2 linked regions of the Pelodiscus sinensis genome follow. Each later gene encodes a partner of the first gene's protein in a complex. Links are inferred from orthologs where the notes say so. Each region holds a gene or a part of one and is shown on either strand. Other genes may lie near its edges.

The links. Proteins that work in one complex are often made in the same cells at the same time.
Region 2: the proteins of SFN (region 1) and ESRRG are in contact, whole or in part, in a crystal structure (PDB 8BJG), measured with the Homo sapiens proteins. The link is inferred for Pelodiscus sinensis from reciprocal best matches to the Homo sapiens genes SFN and ESRRG. Residues at the interface, in NP_006133.1 of Homo sapiens: Asn42, Ser45, Val46, Lys49, Arg56, Arg60, Arg129, Tyr130, Glu133, Gly171, Leu174, Asn175, Val178, Glu182, Leu222, Asp225, Asn226, Leu229, Trp230; in NP_001429.2 of Homo sapiens: Arg175, Arg176, Arg177, Lys178, Ser179, Cys180, Gln181, Ala182.

Annotation. Positions count from the first base shown.
Region 1 is NC_134735.1:2,336,112-2,342,944, reverse strand, and holds SFN (14-3-3 protein sigma), read right to left. Parts: upstream 1,964-6,833; 5' UTR 1,859-1,963; coding exon 1,106-1,858; 3' UTR 534-1,105; downstream 1-533. UniProt on the Homo sapiens protein: Adapter protein implicated in the regulation of a large spectrum of both general and specialized signaling pathways. Binds to a large number of partners, usually by recognition of a phosphoserine or phosphothreonine motif.
Region 2 is NC_134713.1:150,705,937-150,713,610, forward strand, and holds the start of ESRRG (estrogen-related receptor gamma), read right to left. Parts: upstream 3,048-7,674; 5' UTR 2,890-3,047; coding exon 2,834-2,889; intron 1-2,833. UniProt on the Homo sapiens protein: Orphan receptor that acts as a transcription activator in the absence of bound ligand. Binds specifically to an estrogen response element and activates reporter genes controlled by estrogen response elements.

The DNA of each region.
Region 1 (6,833 bases):
GAACAGCTGGGCTGGGAGCTGGCCGTGGCTGTTGGGGCCAGGTGGGTTCTAGCTGCAGGAAGCCACGGGACAGTGGCTGGGGTTTCAAACCAGTCTGAGCAGCAGCAGCGCTGGGCAGGGAGGGGAGTCAGACACTCGGCGCTGGAGACAGCCTGAGAAAGGGTAACAGACGCTGTTCCCGGGGCTCCTACTCCCTCGGCCCGAGCCCCGCAAAGTCCCTCTCCTCTGCGAAAGCTGCTGCTCCTCCACCCCCACCTATCCCCATCACTTCTCAAATGCAAGTTGGGCTCATGGCCCGCTGGGCTCTCTGGGGCACAGCCTGCTCCCAACACTCGACTTCAGCCTAGCGCCTCTGCTGGGGGCCAGCCCTCACGCACTGGCCAGCAGGCATCCTGCCTGGGCCCAGGCTGCGCTCGCTCCCTGCCGAGCCGGGGGCGTGCTCAGGACTCCCTGGCCCCTGTGCAGCGGGGCAGGCAGTGCTGACCGAGCCGCGTACAGGGTGCGGGAAAGAAGCGACGCCGAGGACGACAAAGGCAGGGGTGGAAGTGCAGTTTTATTGGAGAGGGACAGGCAGGCAGCGGCTTCGGCAAGGCACAAATACACGAGGCACCTCAAGTTTGTCATTCGTCACCCGCTCCGAAGATTCCCTCGGCCGGCCGGCCACACCCAGCAGAACCCTGCGGAGCACGGCGCCACAGGCAGCAAAGGGGAGCGCGCGAGTGAGCCGCCACCGCTCCACTTTGGTACCTTCGCCCCGAAAACCAACCTCCGCTTCCCCTTTTAAATGTTAATGGCTGGCAGCCCCATCAGGCCCCAGGGCTGGAGCTCAAGGAGACCCGCTGTTACACCCGGGTTGGTGGAACGTGACAGGTGCTCTCCCACTGCAAGAAGATCACAAGAAATGTTGGGGGGGGGAGGGCCAGAGAAGGGGGATTTGTCCCAAAGCTGCCACGAGAGAAGACGGAGTAAAAAGTGGGAATAACATGCACAGACCAGCCAGTCCCCTTTGCTGTCGGACTCCAGGCAGAGCTGTCGGGAGCCGAGCGGCGTCTTACACAAAAGGGGGAGGGGTGGGAAAAGCGACCGTCGCTCAGGGGGCTGCAGTTCAGTTCTTAGGCTCTTCCCCGGCTTCTCCGCCGGCTTCTCCGCCGTCTTCTCCCGCGCACTCCGCCGTCCATAGCGTAAGGTTGTCCCTGAGCAGCTGCATGATGAGGGTGCTGTCCTTGTACGAGTCTTCACTGAGCGTGTGCAGGTCGCCCATGGCTTCGTCGAACGTGGTTTTAGCCAGCGTGATGGCCTGCTCCGGGGCGTTGGCGATCTCGTAGTGGAAGACGGAGAAGTTAAGGGCGAGCCCAAGGCGGATGGGGTTGGTGGGCTGCATCTCCTTCTTGCTGATGTCCATTGCTTCCTGGTAAGCTTTCTGGGCGTTTTCTATGGTCTCCTTGCGGTCATCCCCGGTGGCTACCTCGGCCAGGTAGCGGTAGTAGTCTCCCTTCATCTTCAGGTAGAAGACCTTGCTCTCTGGGTCACTGGCTTTCTTAATGAGATGCTTGTCCAGCAGCCCCAGGACGACGTTGCAGACGTCCTTCAGCTCCCCCTCCACCTTCTCGCGGTACTCGCTCACCAGCGGCGTTTTCTCGTCGCCCTCCTCAGTCTTGTGCTCGATGCTGGAGATGACCCGCCAGGCAGAGCGCTGGCACCCCACCACGTTCTTGTAGGCCACCGAGAGGAGGTTGCGCTCCTCGTTGGAGAGCTCGTCCCCGTGCTCCACCACGGCCTTCATGAAATCTGCCATGTTCTCATAGCGCTCCGCCTGCTCGGCCAGCTTGGCTTTCTGCACCTGCTGGTTTCTGGCCATGGCTGGGAGCACGGGTGGCAAAGCGGCCGGTTCGAAAGGGAGCAGGCAGTCACCTCAGGAGCCCTCCGAGTCTCTGCTCCGCTCTGCTGATGGGATCGGCTTTTGGCTTGGCGTCTCAGCCTGGAGCAAGGGCTGGGCGTGGCGGAAAAGCACTCAGTGAACCCCTCCCCCACTTCCTGCCAGACAGCACTCTCCTTAAAAGGCAAGCGGCAGTGATTCACCTTGGAGCGCAACGGATTCTGCACCTGCCAATGTCAGAGAAATCCATCTTCACGCAAGGCCTCCTTCCAAACAGCGTGCTTGGCTGTCTCTCCTCACGGGCAGCCCTAGCCCCCTTTTGGGCAGCCAACCACTGGCGAGGCCAGGGAGGGCCAGCTCATCTCTCCTGCCCAGAGAAGGACCCTCCGGGGGGAATCTTGCCCTGCGGCTGACCTGCGCTTGGGCTCGCTCGAGACCCTCCAGCACTGAGATGGCCAATCCTGCAGCTTCCAACAGCCCCAAACGCCCTCCAAAGGCACGTTATCATTTTAAGTGTGATTGACACAAACGCAGGGAGATTCCCCAGGCAGCTCCTCATCCCATTAGCGTCCTCAGTGGAGTCTGGCTGGGCACCACAGCGGCAGACGTGGCAAGAGGCCGTGACCAAGCTCCTAAACAGATGGGTGGCTGAGCAGCTCCAACATTATAGGGCAGAAGAAGCTCTGAAAACACTGGCAGGTCCCTTGGGCTCTTCCCCCAACAGCAGGTTAATCCTAATCCGGGGCTCAAATCACACCTCGCACTGAAGTCATTTCACTCCCTTTGAACTCGGACTGTGTTGCGGAGCTGGCCTCAGTTTCCCAAAGGATGCGCTTATGGACCAGATGTCAGAAAGAAGTCACCTTGTGCTTGTGCCTGTGCAGCCCAAAGCTGCCTACGGAGCAAAGGAGCAGGTTGGGAACGCCGGGCCGGCACTGGCGGGGAACAGGGCCCCATGACCGCCCCTTCCCTTTGAGGGACGGAGAGTCAGGGAGACCACAATGCTCTCTGGAAGCAAGGCCAAGAGTCGACTGACCGTGGGGAAGGGACGGGACGGGATATTTCAAGTACCCCCCCTCCCATTTTAGGAAGGGGCACTCGGGCAACTTGCCGTGAAACGCCTCCGCTGAGACACAGCACCACGTCCCCCTGCAGACCTTCTGCTTTAAAATAAGAGCCTCTCAGGCTACTTCCTACCAGCCTGGCTCAGAGTGAGGGGCAGGGGACAGAGCTTAGGCCAGAAAGTAGGCAGAGGCTGGTGGAAAGGACGTTCTAAGACACAGGCCTCACCTCAGCCAATAGAAGCGGCCCTGCATTGTACCCACCCTTGGATTGCTGGGCCTGCGCCTTGCCCCAGTGACTGAAGACACTTGGAAACCCCTTTTTGCCAGGGCTCGGCTGCTCTGGGATCAGCTGCTGCCATTAGAATCGGGCTCTCCTGCTCTCCTGAAGTTTGTCTCTCCAACCGATCGAGCCTGTTCCTACTTGCCAGGGGCTGACTGCTCCACAGGCTGATGCTGCCAGGCGGCGTCCTGACAAATTCACTGCACTGAAACCTGCCTTAATCACTGGCCTTATCTGCTGGGTGGATGCAGCCCTGGGGAGGAGAGGGTGGGGTCGGTAACTCAGCTGTTCCCCTTTGCAGGTAAATTGCTCCAGCTGCCTGACTCACAACTACTCATCTGTGCAAAGCCACATCTGAGTGCCCCCCCCCCCCCAGCTGATGCTGAGCTCTTGGCTGCAGAAAGGCCCTGTCCTGGCTGATTTCAGTCCGGTGAAGGCAGACACCAGTTGGTGGGACCAGCGTGGCCTGGGGTGGCTCCTGCTCGCAGCCTGAGGCTGGAGAACTGGTTTTTAAGGGTTGAGAAAAGCCCACTACTGAGGCTTGAAACTGAACACCTACGGCAGGGTGGACTGAGCACGGTACCTCTCTGGGCCCTGTAACCAGAATATCTGAGCCTCTCCCACCCGCTCTTCCACATAGCGGTCTTCACACCTCCAACGGGCCAGGGGAAAGCGCCGTTGTCACCAGTGTATATACGGGGGGGGGGGGGGGGGGCGTGAAGGCACAGAGACGAGTGCCCTTTTCAAAAGGGCTTCTGAAAATCCCACTGCAAGTGACTTGCTCAAGGTCACCCAGGAAACCGCTGTCAGAGCAAGGACTTGCCAGTTTCCCATGTCCCAGCCTAGTGCTCAGGCCCCAGCCTTTCCCCTGACACCCCCCCCCCCACACACACACACACTAGTTTCTAGCCCAGGGCAAGTATTTATAGTCTAGGGAGGGGTGGGGAAACTATGGCCTGGGGGCTGGATGAGGCCCCTGAGGCTCAAGACCCCCCCCAGCATTGGGGAGCCCACGCTGGCACTCCAGCCCCCCACCTTCCCCGTGGGGCTGGAACATGCAAACTCTTGTAGCCTGGGCCCCCAGGCTCTGGTGTAGAGGGGGATGTGGGGTGAGGCTTGCTCCTCCTCAGGCAGAGCTCACGGCAGTGGGGGTTGGGGGTTTTGTTTTTTGCTTCTCACTTGTGTGCCGCCCGCAACCGACCGTTCTGAGGGTCTGCAGGCCCCCCCCCGCCCCAGCCCAGTCTAGGACTCTGCCAGGCTAATACTGGTCGGATCTAGGTACTCGTGTGAGGCTGGGCCGGGAGTCCTAGAGGCTGCAGGGAATGATGGGGATGCCATAGCAGGGCACAGGGAAGCTGTTCCTGGCCAAGTCCTGGGAGCGCTAGGAAAGCAGTCAGCCATCTTACAGGCCCTGGGCCTGAGCTAGCGCTCCAGCTAAGTGCTCCTTCATGTCATGCCCCCTCCCTCTGTGGAAATACCCATTCCTGCCCCTTCTGGGGGGGAATAACTGTTCCCAGCCTGGGAAACAATGTCTGATCCATGCAGCCACTGATCTCCACTCTCCCAGGCAAGGGGGCAAGCGCCGGTCTCACCTCCCCCGCCCAGCTGTGATCGCACAAGGGCCATAGCACAGGGCCCACGCACACCAGGATTACACTGAAGTTTCCCCAAGGAAGCTCGCCCCAGCTGTGGGTCTCACATGGGAACCCTCCCCCATCTCTGTCTGCCTGGGAGGGCCCAGCTCTGAGGCCACACTTCTCAGTGGGAGATCTGTTTATCCCGACCATATCCCACGTCTGTCCCCGGGAGCGGAAGGCAGCGCAGGTCTGCAGCAGGGAAAGCTAGAGCCTGGCCACGCTCTGAATCTCTGCTTGCTCTCAGTTGGTGACCCAGATTAAAAAGCCCTGATCTGCCTGGGGCGTACGCCGCACAGCTGTGGCCAAGCCACGAGGGGCTGGGGGCTGCAGTGGAAGTGCACAGGCCCCTGTGGAGGGCAGCACCACGTGAACCTTCTCCAAAGGCAGCGGCAGCTACGGCCAAGCGAACTACATGACCTGGGCTGGGCCAGAGCACACACGTGTCCCAGCATTACACACTAGGGCCGGCAGCCTGTCCAGGGACTGCGCTTAGTGCGAACCCCAAGCCTGTTTGCCAAACTGTGGGAGCACGAAGCCGGCCGTCTCTTCGGCCTGACTCACGTGGGAAAGGACCCTGGGGACATGGTGCCGTCTGAAGTACAAGTTCAGCACTAGGCTCGGCAGCCTGCAGTTCCCCTCCCGGGGCCTGCCGGCTGTAAACGTTTGAAGCGCAACGTCCAGCGTGGTGCTCAGCCCTGCTGCGCTCCTCCGGGGCCAGCTCGCCCCGGACTGCCCCTTGCATCCTCATGCTGCGGTGGCCGGCTGCCTTCCTGCGGGGCACCTGAGAGAAAGGCGGCCCCTGGAGCTGCGCACTCAGTCCGACTGAAAGACGTGAATCTATTAAACTAGCTCTGAACAAGGGAGGTTCGATAGTTTAGCTAGTCCCGTGGGAGGGGCACAGATCACCACCCGCAGGGCTGTCTCCTCCTCCCCTCGTGTGCTCCCTGCAGCAGCTCCCACACGGGACTAGTGCTGTGGAGAAGGCCATTTCCAAGAGCCCTGGACTAGCCTGCAAGCGTATGCAGGACACAGCCCCCCCACCCCCGAGCTCGTTTGAACCAGCCCATCCTTCCCTGCAAGAGCCAGAGCCCCCGCCTCAGTTGGGCAGAAAAAGCCAACAGGTCTGCACGGACGAGGTTTGCATCTGGGCAGGCTCCAATCAGGAAACATGGCGACAGTTCAGCAGACCTTTGATGCCTCCCGTTCTTGGGACCAAGCCATGTTTCACCCCCACCTTCCGGGGCCCCCAGCAGTGCCAAGCTGGCTTTAGGGTGAGGACGTTCCTGGCTTTCCGCCCCGTATGGTTAACACAGAAGGTCAGACAGACACACGCCACATCTAGCGCTCCACCTTCATTCGCTCCACCCTCTCCAGAGAGCGCGCACATGCAGGGCAGCCGGGAGACGTCCCTCCTTGGGCGCTGGGGAAACAAGAGCCAGATGCCCATGTACAGTAAATAGGAGAAACTTTATTTTGTTACAAAAGTACAAGGCGTAAATGGATTTCACACCCGCCCAGCCTGTGCCTAGTTCTTCTGCTCAGTCCTTGGGAGGCAGCAGAGTCTATGCGGGGACTGCAAAAGCTGCTACTGACACGGCTACTGCACTTAGGACACCCAGGAAGGGGCTAAGACTCAACTGCAGAACATCTTCACACACTACCTAGGTCGCTGACAGGTGCCCCCTCTGCCTGCACACGCATGGCGCAAGCAGCTCACGGCTGAGGGGGAGGGGCGGCGTACTGGCCGGTTCTGGTAGAAATGCTGCTTCGCAATCCTCTGATTCCAGCCGTGAACACACCATACTGAGCCTGGGGAAGTCTCACCTCCCCGCTCATCTCACTCAATTACGTCAGTCTCTTGAGGGGGGCCACTGTCCCACTGCCGAGTAAGGCTAGTCCCAAGGAGCCCGCAACGGCCTTTGCTCAGTTGCACGAGTCTCTTTCCAGCAGCCGGAGATGGCAGAAACTCCAGTTAT
Region 2 (7,674 bases), on another chromosome or scaffold:
GGGGAAGAATGAAACTAAGACAAATTCCCTCTCTCATTATATATAAGTAAACATACAAACAATACCAAGATTAGGGCATGATATTGTTTAAAAAATAATATGAAATATATGTACACTGTCATCGCATCAAAGTATTTTTTCTACTGTATGTAACTCCATTATAGGTCCATTTCTTTATCTAAATTTCACTTATCTTATTTGAGTTTTCCTGTCATAATCTGTGCATTTTATTTCTCATACTATAGATCAAATACAAATGCATGCAACATTGTAACAGGAACATTTGTTTCTTTTTCATTAAATTCTTTTGCATATTTTTTGAATGGGGAAAGTAGGGAAGGGGTCGAGGGGTTCAAATTCATGAAACAAATAGAATGAAGCACAAAGGGCAAATGTACACACTGCACAGAAGCTATCTGCAGTCACAAATCTATTCAGTTTTCTATGTTTGGCATTCAGAGATCATGTTTAAATTTACTAAACTAGTTCCTCCCCCTCCTCCCCTTCTTTGGAGTATTTCAATTGCCTTTCCTTCTTCCAACAGCTGTGACAACTGTTAAAACAGTCAGTAAAATTAAGTCAGCTCTATAATCCTGTAGTCAATGTTACATTTTAATCAGAGGTTGAAGGAGATTTCATGTTATGAGCACGATTCATTTAGAATGATTAAACTGACACATATGTCAAAATGAGCAGATATATTTATTGCATCTGTTAGGTTATTAACTATTATTATTAAATATTAGAATTATTGTTACTTTTGTAAAGCAAAAACCAAGGCTGTAAATGGCTGTAAGTGATTGCATTCTTTAACATGCTCTGCCTTAAAAAATCAAAGCATACCTAGCGACGGTCAGGCAGATGTCCCAAAATGTTCTGTCAATTTTTAGCTGGGATCCTCCTCTACGCAATAATTAACTGTAGAAATTATCCACTTCTGGAAATGCTTCATTCACTTATATAGCATTCTCTGTAGGTCCTTATGCATATGGACATGACAGCTTACAGACAAAATGCAATTACTATGAATATTGATAGTTTTGGTGTTTATTAATTGAGACAGAGTCACAGATGTGTTTCTGAATATTAGATATTTCTGTCTGTCCACTCAACCACGCACCCAACACAGCCTACATCCGGAAAGTAAATTGGATTGTTTTAAGAAGACTTTTAGTTGAGCCAAAGGGGGGGGGGGGGAGGAGAATTAGTTTAAATCTTGCACCAGAGCCAAAAAGACATGTGCCCTGATTTCATTTAAATGCATCTACTTTAAGAGGCTTATCTAAACTAATCATTCAAATTAGCTGTAAGAAGGTAAATTCAGGAAAGCTCCTTTCAAAGAGAACCTCTTCCTACCTTTAATTTTTTTTAAACCCTTATTTTCTAGGGAAAAATTAAAATATTAAGTGAAAGCTGTGAACATTGCATTTATTCATATGTGAAGACAATTTACTGCAGTTCATGGAGCACTGACCTATAAACCATATCTTAGTGGGCAACCTATCTTTGTTTATTTTCATCTCTTTACCCCTTCAGTTTTAAAGGGGGTTCTTCCCTCTCTTACTTCAAACTGTTTTCCTAATGGCAAGTCTATTTCCTGCTGTTCTCTTTAACTCCTATGTTATATCACAAACATACAGTCACTGTAAGTCACTTTCCATCTCTGGCTTAATTACAAATAGCTATGCAATATGCAGACACTAAGGACAGCTAGTGGGCATCTACCTATAATACACTGTCACCTCTCTATACAGCCTCCCTACCCAGTGCATCTAGGGATGTACTTACTATTAGCATTTTTCTTCAGTATTACAACATTCATTGCTAGTGTAATAGGAAAGCCCAGCAAAATAACTGGCTCGACATAAAGAAAAATGAATCAATGACAGCTCCCATGATATACTAATATTTAATCCTGACTATAGGTTGAAATCAAGTTTATGAGCCACTCATCACCACTAGCATGCTGGATTTTGTTTGGGTTTTCTGCTTTTGATCTCAGAGAGTCCAAGTATTTATACCTGCATATATACAAAACTAGGTAGTTAATAGGTACAGCTGAAACAACTATATAAAATCATATATTAAAAAAGTAGTTTATTGTCTTTTGCAGGGACAAACCAACACAATGAAACAAGCTACAGGCTAATGGGAACAAATGTACTTCATTATATCAGTTCTCTATTAAAGTACAAAATATTAAAGTCAGTTTGGTTCTTTTCTTCCTTAATATTTTCTTCTCCTTTATTAAAAAGCACAGAATTCCCTTGTTATTCAGTAGACTGATATGTCAGTGAAGAAGTGCTGGTTGAACAGCATTTTAGACCTGAATTGCAGAAGGCTAATTGTGAATATTCATCCTTAAAGAGGTATTAGCAGTTATTTTCCCGGCTAACTCTGCACAGTCAAAAATGACAGGGAGACCAGAATATCTATCAAACCGCATATACACAAGAAAGGCACTAGTGTAAATCATTTGTATAATACATTATTTTAAATCCTTTCCCTGGGAAAATGTGTCCTACTGCAAGGCATGTTTTAACAATTCACTAAGCATTTGTGCCAAGTGCCTATTATTAGTACCTGAATAAGAAGTGACTGTCACACAGCTGTTTTACTGACAGTCACAGGGCTTTGACTCAAAGGTAACATTGTAGTCAGAGAACAATTCTCCACTTACTGAATTAGCAGATCATCCTCAGCACAAAAAAGACAAGACAGACACAAATAACCGTTCATGCACACACAAGCCACACAGCACTACCTGAATCAATGTTTACATTATTTTCATTAAAAAAAAAGGTTAAAAAAAGAAAGGAAGAAAGATACCTACTCTTCTTCGTAGTGAAGGGAAAAAGATTCAGGAAGACAAAGTTCTACCGAATCCATGTGCGCTCGGCAACCATTATTTGTGCACCCCAGCAATAAATCAAAGTTTCCTTGACAGAGCACAGTGCAATTAACACAAATGTTCTCCTGGTGACAAGCCTATAGGCACAGCCAGTTGGGACCAAAAGCTCTCACAGTCTCCTAATCAAGGACTTAAAGCCCCGATTGGAGCTTATTAATATGAAGTAGGGCTTTACATATGCAGTCCCACTGGCCCAGACAGATACTGGATTGGTAGCACATTAGCCAATCAGATGTGAGGAGAACAGAGACTGCACAGATTGAGAAAAGCCAGGCAGGTACAGAGGGGTGGAGAAACTGAAAGAGACTGAAAACAGAGTAGGGACTTAATAAAAAGAAATGTAAATGTTACCAATATTTTTCTAAGGGGCTACAAAGAAAACCTAATTAGCATAACTCTCTAGGCACTAGATGTTTTCTGTAACTTAAAACACTATTAGTCAAGTACCTTGAATGGAAGAAATACATGCAGACTCTCAGTTAATGTTGTGAAGAATTCATCATAAGGTAGAGAACTAAGTTTGTGCTGCTATTGTCTGTTTATTCCATTGTTGTTATTTGGGAGGATTTTGCTTGGGGGAGGGGAAGAGGGTTTAAGTGTTTTTGCTTTTTTCATGCAAAAATGATTTTTTTATCTTCTAAATTTTCTGGTATGTACTAAGAAACTAAGCTCAAAATTAACTGTTCTAAAGATCTGCATTGTCATTTTAACTGTAAGTTTGTGTTGTCAGTTTTATTTAAAAAAAGAATATTTAGAACTGAAAATCGATACCAACTTAACAGAAAAACTAATATTTTAAAAATGCATTTGTTTCAACAGCACAGATGCACGCATTGTTATGAGCACATATGTGTACACATACATATATCAGATCCATGTTAATATGGCATACTTAACACATTAGCCATAAATGCACATATCTGCATGTTCATAAACAGAAGGGAAAGCTCCAGCACTGACTAATTTCTTCTGTAACTGTGGAGGGATTATAATGGACTCAACTCAGTCTGTTTCATTTTAATAAGATCAGACTACATTGTGGTATGTCTGAATGAATACCCCTGCAGTTTTTTAATTTACTGTTTAAAGAAAATTTTAACAAACTGGAAGTAAATATATCAAATCCATTACTTGTATATATGCCTACATAATCATCTTTGAACCCAATTGCTCCAAACCACTGGCTTTTATAATTCACACTGATATACCTTATTAAATAAAATTCATTGAATAAACCAATTTTAAGAAAGTGATCATACGCAAAATCAGACACAGTTTACACTGAAAACACCAATTTTAAAAGGGGGTATGATACATTTCCCTCAAAATCTACAGCTTATTATTAACATTACAACTAAAATATACATTTTCTGGTAGCAGAGAAAGAATTTTTTCTACCAAGTTGCGGTGGAAATAAATATCAGCTATTTATGACAAGGAGATAACTGCTACCTTCTTAAGAGTGGAGGACCCACAATTTTTTATAATTCAGCTCTAGTGAGCACAAATCTTTTGTGACTGGAGCCCTACATGATGCAAATGACAATCTTTCAAGATCAAAACAAATCAGTGCAACCCTCAGAATGCATTAATACCATTCACAAATGGGAATACAAATGTCTTCTTCAAATCTATTACACAGCTTTTGGGGAAAAGAAACCCCAGAAATTAATTGAAAAAAAATGAAATGGACATGTTTAAAGCTCTTTATGTTAGACAGTGATTTCCAGTGTAATGTATTCAACCAGATGCAAAGGATAGGCCTGTTCCTTACATATTAAGCATTAATACATGCAAGTTTAAGGATCAGAACCAACACAGCAAAACTATAGCTCTAACTACTGAATAAAAGCAGGTAGTAAAAGCTTAATTACCAGTAGCATTATGCTGTCTATATTGTTAAATGTGAACTCTGTAATTAAGATGTAAATTTGGTTGTGAGAAGTGCATTAGAAGAGCTCTGAGATGTAAAGCCCAAGCATCCTTTAGACACACCATACAGACAAAAAAAAAGATTAGTTTTTAATCAAACCTTAAAACAAGATACATTTAATCATTTTACGGAATTAAAAACCCTTCCTTAAAAAAATACAGAGAAAAAGAAATGCTGTGGTTGTGGGAATCAGATCAACACTTGAAAATTAAATATTTATTCTATACTTGATTTCTTGATTTCCATATAAATCCAAAGTAAAAATCCCACTAACTGGTTTATTCATGCACATCTCCAGCAACATATAAACTAATAAACATCTTTAGTTTAAATGTATAACTTTAAATAGATATACATACTCTTAAAATAGCTATTTTCTAACTATACGGACATTAGGGCTTGAAATTCCTTCAGACTCTGTACCTGTGTGTTTTTTATTAAAAAATGATCCGTGTTGGAGATACACACACCCACACATGAGTCATTTGATACAGGTCATTTTTAAATCATTATTTCCTAGAACATATATAATTTGAAATAGGATTATTAAGCCATTTAAAACCTTATCAAACCAAAATTTACCTCATGTTTACTTTTGTTCATTATCTTTTAGACTGTATATTTATACTCAGCTGCTGAAAATCTGACAGTCTATTGCCTTCTCTTGTGGTCTGTCTTCCATCCTTTTCGTGTCCACATAGTTTTCACTACCCCTTAGCTTTCCCTCCCTATCCAATCTTTCTCTCCCCCTATTAACCATCACTATCTTTCCACCAACCATCTTTCATCCAGGCAAGCAGCTGCCTTCACTGCTGTGCTGCTCCTTAGATGACCAGAAACACAGTGCTATACTTTATGTGTTGATAAACAAAGCAGTTGGATTCCTCCGCTGGGACTGAAAGTGTCACCTCTACCAGACCAGGGTCTGGAATTCCAACTAGTTCCACTACTGAAATTCATCTACAGTTTTGAACATGGGTTTCCCAGTTACTGTTCAGCGCTTTTTTTTTTTAAAGCTTCTACAGCAGATAACTGTAGTAAAAGTTCTCAATAAACCTTCTTGTGCCACATTTTAAATAAATAAAAAGCCCTGGGGAGAACATAAAATCAAGGTAGATTTTGGTTTATAGAACTTCCGTAAAGGATATGGATTAAAAATGCACATGTACACACACACAAAAAATCTTACCATGAAGAGTATACAAAACATAGTAGAAATGGAACCAAAAAAAAGGGTATGTGTGTGTGGGGATTGGGGGGAAGGAAACAGTCACAAGTGTCCGCAGCAGTCAATGAGAATTACTGTGCAGTGTCTGCATCTCCACACATCTCCATGCATATAATTACCAAATGTAAGAACAGTACATCTTTAAGCATCTTCACACTTAAATGCAATCGACATTTCAAGGCATCCAAGGAGCCAGATTCCTAAATCACATCTACCTCAAGGCAACCGAAGAAGTGAAGATTCAGTGGCACTTTACAGAAGCAGCATAGTATATTATGACAAGAACATATTTGCTTAAAAGAGACCAAAATACATTTGGGAAGGGGTCAAAAACATTATTAATTCCAGCGTCTGCTCAGAGATTATTTATTTTTAAATAAATACTTTTTCTGAACCTATTATATTTAAGAAGGCTGTTTCCCACCTCAGCAAAACCTACATATGGGCTATGAGATTTTCAATAAAGTTTTAATTAAATGTTGGAGTATCACTCGTTGTTTGAGAGGAACTATGAGAGGACCAAATTAATGTTTATTTGCCACTCTGCCAGGTAACTAGGTGAGCTAGTGTCAAATAAAAAACACAATTTAAATTTGTTTCATGCTATTCATGCTAATTTCATTAAAATTGCTCTGCTGCTGTCTCCTTCCTCCTAGACACATAACTGGTTTGGTTTTGGAGTTTGCCTTTAGTGCTTCTTATTAGAAGGGATGCAGTGAATCTATGGGCACACTGTTAATGTAGAGAAAAATCTTTTCACTAAAATGAGTTGCAAATTTTGTTCACCTGTTTTTAAATGGTTAGGCAAATGGTAGCAGGTAACTACTTTAGAACCATCTGCTTCTTCGATCTGTATTTAGTATTAATCACTCCCTGCTTTGATCCTACACAAAAAAAAAACCCAACACTACCTCAACATGTTCTTTAGAACTTCATCACAAAACAGGAATTGTTCTACACACAAAGCTGAGGGCTGTTTGTTAGTTTAAAAATTCGGTTTTAGCAGATGACATATCTTCTCTAAGAAATCACAGCAAACACTTTGCCATATTATCAAAGTATATTCAAGTCACCTGATCTTAGCAATACACTCCATATTTTCTATTTCCTTTATTTTCAAGAACACAGACGTTAATTTTTAAATAACTGCCTTCACTGCTACAGAATAGAACCTTTTCCTACTGTTGTAAGTGAAAATTGTTCTGCTGAATAAAAAACACCCTTTACAGAGCCTTAAAAAAAGTGCCTACCCATTGCCCAACACTCAAAAAAAGGCTATTCTCATTAGAGAGAAATGAAGTGTCCACTCCAATATTGATATTTTTCGATTACACCGGGCTCTTACCCTAGTGTAAGTTTCTTCAGAGAAGCAGTAATGTGTTACTGTCTCAGACAGCCAAGGATAAAATGACTGAGGGAATTCAGTTGCTCTGTTTAATTAATACAGGATTATTTCACTTTCATTTTGTGAAGCTAATAATATGACTGGTGGAATGTCAGTAAAAATTAAATCATAAACTAGTGCAGTACCAAAGGGAAAACTTACTTTAGTTACAGAGTATTCCCAGCAGAAATCTTGAAAATCTTATACATATTTACACT